Canis lupus familiaris: one gene and its partner. The protein of the gene in region 1 interacts with the protein of each later gene in a pairwise test. Links are inferred from orthologs where the notes say so. Each region holds a gene or a part of one and is shown in the gene's direction. Other genes may lie near its edges. The genes, in order: MYPN and ANKRD1.

Region 1 (3,826 bases):
ACAAGAATTTTCATAGATGAGTAGAATGATTGCAGCCATTTGACAGCAAATAGGGTCTGTTTGTGAAGTTACTTTTCCATATATTGTGTATCAGAAATGTTACTGAAAGAAAGGAAAAAGATCTTAAACTCCAAGAATTCAGAAAAATCAACGTTTGGAGAACCTCCTGATTCAACTTTATTATCACTGGTGTTGTTGACCTTCCTGATGCTATAAAAATACTGAACTTTTCATTTTTAATAGATCTCATGTTCAGCAGATCACCTATGTTACAGCAGCAATCCAAAGAATGTAAAGCTGTGGTAGATTTGAAACACCAGTCTTCCTTGTGGAATTTCCTGTTGTTATTCATTTGAGGGTAAATACTTCTAAACAGCAAAGTTTAGCAGCCCTGATGACTTTATGCGTATAAGATTTTTAGAGATTTTCATTTTCCATTTTCTTTCTTAAGAAATAATTAACCAGGGGCACTTAGGTTGAGTGTCCAACACTTGATTTTGGCTCAACCTCCACTCGGGCTTGCTCCCTCTTTAGTGGAGTCTCCTCTCCCTCTCCTTCTTCCTTCTGCCCCTCCCCACTGTGGTTGCTTGCTCTTTCTCTCTCAAATAAATAAACAAATCTTAAAAAAAATAATTAACCATTTTATTAAGATAAATAGATTGTAGGCAAATCATATAATGTTTCTGCAACTCAGCTTCCTACGAAAGAAAAAAGTACTTCCAGCTTTTCTTCTTTCCCCTTAGGAACAATTAAAGTCTAAGGCAATGTTTCTTTTCTTTTCTTTTCTTTCCTTTTCTTTTTTCTTTTCTTTTGTTTTCTTTTTTAATTTTTAAAAATTTTTTGAAATTTAAATTCAATTTGCCAACATGTAACACCCAGCGCTCATCACATCACATGTAAGGCAATGTTTCTAACTAGGGTGGCCATATAATCTACCATTCAAACCCTGATATTTTTTAAAGTAAAAGAGCATTATTAATAATTATGCCAGGAAAACAGGCATAAACCAAGACTCGAGGATGTATTGGGACATATGATCACCTTATCTATAATGCTTTGTTGTTGAGAGAGGATTAGAAACACCAAGACACATCCAGCAGTTTTATTAAGGTTTGCTTTAAAATGAGGCAGAATGGGGGCACCTGGTGGCTTAGTTGGTTAAGCATCTGCCTTCAGCTCAGATTGTGATCTCAAATCTCAATCTCAGGGTCCTAGGATTGAGCCTGGTGTCGGGCTCCCCACTCAGTGGTGAAACTCTTTTTTAAACTCTTTTTTAAAATAAATAAATAAATTGAAGCAGAATGAAGAATACAACACACTCAGTTACTTATGTCGCTGCCTTCTGTCCCAAAGCTGAGATACAGTTTGCTCCTACCAGAACTTTAGGCACTCCCAACAGAGGAGCATTGTTTCAATTTCTTTTCCTAACTTATAAACACTCTAGAATTGGGCTGCCATGTTGTAGGGTCACAACACAAAGAATATAATGTAAACGATGCCTTTTGGAGCTGTGCGTTATGAGGGCTTTTCCCCTTTTCCTCACAAACAGATTTAGAAAGGAGAAACAGCTCACAAAGAATTGATGAGCTCCTTCCTGGCAACTCTGGTTGTGTGTTCTGAGTCAGCATAAAGTTATAAATAGCCTGTATACACATTTTATTTTTAAGATTTTATTTATTTATTCATGAGAGACACAGAGGCAGAGACAGAGGCAGAGGCAGATGGAGAAGCAGGTTCCCTATGGGGAGCCCTATGCAGGACTCGATCCCAGGACTCCGGGATCATGCCCTGAGTGGAAGGTAGACGCTCAACCACTGAGCCAGGTGGCACCCAGGTGCCCCTACACATTTTCTGATGAGTGAGGTCAAGGGTGACAGATTTCCCTTCTTTCTCTCCCCACTCTCGTGTGCAGTGATTCCAGTCAGCTGCAACAGCTTCACAACCAAGTCTTACTGGAACAACAGCAGTTGCAAAACCCGTCTCCTTCATCTCCTAAGGAGTTTCCTTTCCACATGAGCGTTTTGAACTCCACTGCTTCCCCGGCGGTGACAGCGTCCGGCAAGCAGGTGAAGGCCCCACCGGCACAGACATTCAGCCTGGCCCGGCCCAAGCATTTCTTCCCTTCTCCAAGTGCCACCGCAGCAGCAGCAAGCGCGTCCCCTTCCAGCTCTCCAGTGTTCACCCTGAGCGGCACACCTCAAACCATTCAGAGGACAGTGAGCAAAGAGAGCCTCTTACTTTCTCACCCCTCCATGCAAACCAAATCTTTGGGAGGAGCGTCCATCCAAAGCGAGCCACCCCCTCCGGCTCCCATAGAGCCAGCACAACCACCACTCACATTTGCTGTCTCCAGTGGAAACCAGTTTCAGCCTCGCTGTGTTTCCCCAGCTCCAGTCTCTCCTACCAGCCGGATTCAGAACCCGGTGGCTTTCCTCAGCTCGGTCCTGCCTTCTCTCCCTGCCATCCCGCCCACTAATGCCATGGGGCTGCCCAGAAGTGCACCATCTGTGTAAGTGTCATTAAGATCTCTGAAGTAAAAGATGTCACTTAAGAAAGGACCTATGCCTAGAATAGCTTCATCTGGGACAGGACTCTCATTGAGTGGATTCCTAGATAACCCTCATAGACACTAAACGGATTTTGAACACTTTAGAGCAAAGGGCATGATTACTTTAAATCATTTTCAATAACTTAAATACTGAAAACCCCTCTACAAACACAGATTCTCTGTGCAGTGCTCAACGTTGGGGCCTAAGTGCCTGATGACTCCTGGTATCTGACTGCCATTTCAGCCACCCTGATTCCTAGGCTTTCGGGTACTGGCAAGGGCTTTTCATGGGTGTGTCAGCTGTGACTTTATTTTACAGGCCATCCCAGGGACTAATGAAGAAAAACACAAAGTCTCCCCAACCAGTGAATGATGATTACATTCGTGAAACTAAGAATGCAGTGATTCTAGACTTGGGGAAAAAAATGAATTTCAGTGATGTCAGATCAAACCAGCAGGTAAGATTGTTGGGCTCAAATGGTTTATTGGAATTTCAATACAAGAAATACAATTTCACTTAATTCAGTCCTTGGATGGTTGGGCCACCAGACCTCAGTGAGGCTGACCCTGCAGTGTTAGAAGATAGAGCATAGATTAACCAAAGGTCATACAGGAAACTCACCTACATGGATCTACCGTTCTTGATTACTCCAGTAGTTAATTCAATGTAACTGTTTATATGTTTTTATGTAGGATGAAATATGTTAAGGAAAGAGAGATTAGATAGTCTGTTGGCCATTCCAGCAACCCTCAGCTCAGTATTGACAAACACCATCACATCTTTGATATATTTCAATGTATGAGAAGATCTAGATTGAAATTAACTCTAGGGTTCCACGCTGTCCTTTATTTGACTTCTACAATCTAAGGTGCTAGAGGTCTATTCACCAGTTCCTTTCAATCTTTACATTCAACATCAGTTGAATCATGTAAAATAGCCATTAGTCAATATCCTGTGGTTCAACCCACACAACTCTTTGCTCACTAGTGAGTGTTCACACTGAAGGAGAGAAAGAAAAGCCATAAGTGAGCATCAAATTAAAAAAAAATAGACTATTTTGTTATTTGAGCTATTTACTTTTACATTTCATAACATGATTATTTTTAAAAATGTATTACTTTTTAATAACCAAACTCTTGATTTATTTCCCAAGGTGGAAACTGATAAAATCTAATTTGAAACATAACACAATATTTCAGTCAAAAGTATATGCCAAATATTGTAGAATTTGTAGCATAAGTAATCCCTGGAAACAAGGCTCCAGATTTTCCTGACCA
Region 2 (3,716 bases), on another chromosome or scaffold:
GACACCATCCCTGAAGTAATAAAATTCCACAGTGGTCAATACAGCCAAGAGCCAATGAACTGAAATTAATCAATATCTAATCCAGTAATTCTGAGTAGTCCTCCCCTCCTTACAACAGCATAACATGCTACCACTTTCTTCCAGGGCCAGCCATGCTTTTGCCTATATTTTTGAGATAATTTCTATCCATTCTCCACACTGGTTTATCTGCATATCCCTCAAAATAATTCCCTATATTTAGGCCCTGAAAATGCTCGTATAAGTCCCTTCTACAAGTACGTGTTAATTTAGCTTCATCTGCAAGCCAGGGAATAGAGCCAACTTTTCCTCATGGTCCCAATTCCCAGGCAAACATCATCTAATGTAAGCTTTAAAAATATCACTGGGAGGAATGGATATAAATTCCTGAAGAAATAATTTGAAAGATTTGGTAGAGAATCACTTTACAAGGAAGGAAAAGAAAACCCCAGTCATCTTATATTGAGAATAATTTCTTCCCCTTATTGCGTTACTATGAGACTTAGAGGAATATTTTATCATAAAAAGCCCCACAAAACTGTCTTGGTGATAGGAACAAAGAATAGAAGCAATAAATAGAGGCTGCTTGGATGGTAAAGTGTTAATAGTAGGGTCCTCTCATCCTTAATATAGGGATTGGCCTTATCTAATAATTGAAATAAATAAGCAGAAAAAGAGTAGATTTAATGAAATCTCTGAAACTGCAGAAAATATTAAAATTGTTTTCAGGCAGTGAGACACTACCAGCAAAGAGAAATAGCATACAGATTTGGGGAGACTGTATAAGTAGCCAGAAATCAGGAGATACATTTTAATAGAGAGGAGTTGAAGGAATTATGGAAGAACAGATAAAAATATACCAATGAGGCTGGGGGCTTTGAATATCAGTTAAACCCCAGCATTAGGGTCCTGAAACATTGACCTAATGGCTGGATGTTCCCCAAAAGACCACTAGCCATTGAACCTCATCTTGAAGGGAATCGGAAACAAACACACAATACATTATTCTATTGTTGTCCAAAATTCTGTCATTATGTGTAGTGATGAGTGTTTCTCGAGGAACATGCTGTAGAGGTGGGAAGTTCCAAAACAAAGGTTACAGGGCCACTAATTCAAATAAGCAATAAGTGCAGGGGTCAGGCAGGTCACCTGAATTACATAAATGGTGGCTGCAGGGATCTGTGCACATGATTATAAAGGTGGTGGCTCTGCGAAGCCACAGGTATCAGGCTGGCCAACTCTTCTGATTTTTTCCAGAGAGTTCACAAATTCACTTGGGAAATCTCCTAATTTCCAACTATTGACAATTAATTCCAACTTAAAAAAAAAAAATCTCACCTCTGTTTGGGCCCAAACAAAACAGGTCTCTAAACTGATTTGCATCTCAAAGCTGCCAGTTTGCAGTTTGAGTTAAAGAGACTTCTAAACGGATAGGGGTAGAAAAATATAAGACTTCTCATATTTAAAGACAAGAATTGAGAGGTGGCATCGGATTAATTTTTGTACATGTCTTGAGACCTATGCATAAGGGAAAAGAATTTTGGTCTCAAAAATTACTTTACACATTATTGATGTCACCTCCAAGAAACATGAAATTTCCCAGGAGATCCCAGTGTGAAAACGCCACACCTTGGAGCAGTAAGAGTTCTGTACGGCACCGGAGGACTTCAGCCAAGGTGTCAAAGCAGCTCTTTTACTATCAGTTTTTATCAATCAGGAATCATTTTCCAAATTGATAGGAACTGGTTCTTGTTCACTATCTTCCCATGCCCCTTCTGCAGGATACCGGAGATGTATAGAGGCATTTTTTGAATTTTGAAATGAGTTGGCATGCTCTTGCAATTTACCGTCTAGGGACTGGGATTTTTTTAAACCAATACCTGGAGTAGTCCCACAGAGGGGAAAAAACACACAAAAAACAAAAATATTGCTAATCTGAAATGCCAAACACATTCCTGTGAGAAAGAGTGAAGGGCTGATTTGAATATAAACTGCCAATCAGTCATAGTGGAAAGCATAAAACGGTTCAATAACATACACCTATCCATTACCTCATTAAAAACACGCCCACAGAGGATGTGTAGAATTTATAGATGCCTCCCATCTGGAAGTCAAATTTCCTCATGTATTTTGATTAGGCTGGGAAGACCCCAATGGATCTGGTGCTACACTGGCAGAATGGAACCAAAGCAATATTTGACAGCCTCAAGGAGAACTCCTACAAAACCTCTCGCATAGCCTCGTTCTGAGGGAAACAATGCCAAGCTCATCAGTTGTTCTTCACCAGCATTTTGAAGACACAACCCCAAAGAAGAGTAACTAGTCATAAAATCCAGCTCCTACCCACCTGTTGTAAAGCTGCACCTAATGAAGTTTTAAGAAAGCACAGGGATATAGGTATGGAAATTTTCCTTAGCGAAACTCACTCTATTTATTTTTATTTATTCCTGTTTATTTATTTATTTATTTGCTTCCATACCACTGGTATTCAGATCCTTCATGATGATCCATTTGGTGAGCTTAATTTGTACATAACACTCCAGAAACTTCCTGTAGATCATTCTTAAACCATGTTAACGAGCAATGCTGTCAATGCCTACTCATGTGCACCTCGCTCATGGAAGATATTTCAAGGTGTTTTTAAAGGACAAGAGTGATTATTGCAGCCCTCTTCTGAATTTTTAACGCTGAAGTTTGAGGCAACAGGGGGCATGTAGCGACAGGAAAGGAAACTGCAGAATGAAAGGCATTCTGTGAGAAGGACAGTAAAGCCAGCTGTTTGACGCCTGGGCCTGGTATCTTTTACCAAGTCACACATTGTACCAAGGTGAAGAGAATGTCATGAGTGTAAGTGGCGTGTTGTGGCAGGTGCGGGCCACTGGGCCATGCAGAAGTGAATTTGCTGGAAAATGATGAAAGTGACTGCAAAGTGTAAATGTGTAAATGTATATTATGTTGTATGTGTATTTTATATTCATAATAAAAGCAAATTATAAACCCCTTTCTAAGTGCTTCTGTAAGTATGGTGGGAAAACCATGTGAAAGACAGCCATTTGGATGGAGTTTTTTGTCTTTCAGTTTTTTCAGATTAGAAATGTCCTATAAAATAGCACCTTTCAGCATTTACTGTGTACACGGACCGCCTGAGGATCTTGCTAAAATGCAGATTCTGATTGCCCCCATTGTGGATGGGGCCTGGGACTCTGCATTTCTGACAAACTTCCAGATGATGCAGAGGTGGTGGTACATCACAACCACACTTGGAGCAGCAAGGCTGTGAAGACCATCAAGATAGGGAGTTCACCTTCTTTTGGCCACAGTGGTGGGGAGAAAGAGACCCCTGGTGGGAAGAGTGATCACTGCAAGCTAAACAAGTGCACCTTAAGGAAGTGCCCATCAGGGCTAATCTGAGGTCTAACAATTACTGTGGACACCCGCTGTCGGTGTCAAAGGATGCCCACGAGAAGATACACCTGGCCAATGATTTGTTGACCTCTGAGGGGAGCCATTTTGTTACCAGGTGCTGGACCAGGTGTTAAGACCTGTGATGAGAAAACTAGCTTGCCCCTGCCCTGCCTTTCCAGAACAGATGAATACTAAAAAAGTAATCCCAGAAATAAATACATAGTAATGATCTGCGGTAAGTACGATGAAGTAGAAAACAGAGTGCCGTGAGAGTCTCAGATGCAAAGGCACAT

The links.
Region 2: the proteins of MYPN (region 1) and ANKRD1 interact in a two-hybrid assay, tested with the Homo sapiens proteins (2 studies listed by BioGRID). The link is inferred for Canis lupus familiaris from reciprocal best matches to the Homo sapiens genes MYPN and ANKRD1.

What each region holds. Positions count from the first base shown.
Region 1 is NC_049225.1:20,158,094-20,161,919, forward strand, and holds part of MYPN (myopalladin), read left to right. Parts: intron 1-1,912; coding exon 1,913-2,509; intron 2,510-2,867; coding exon 2,868-3,006; intron 3,007-3,826. UniProt on the Homo sapiens protein: Component of the sarcomere that tethers together nebulin (skeletal muscle) and nebulette (cardiac muscle) to alpha-actinin, at the Z lines.
Region 2 is NC_049249.1:5,750,264-5,753,979, reverse strand, and holds the end of ANKRD1 (ankyrin repeat domain-containing protein 1), read left to right. Parts: intron 1-2,156; coding exon 2,157-2,267; 3' UTR 2,268-3,021; downstream 3,022-3,716. UniProt on the Homo sapiens protein: May play an important role in endothelial cell activation. May act as a nuclear transcription factor that negatively regulates the expression of cardiac genes. Induction seems to be correlated with apoptotic cell death in hepatoma cells.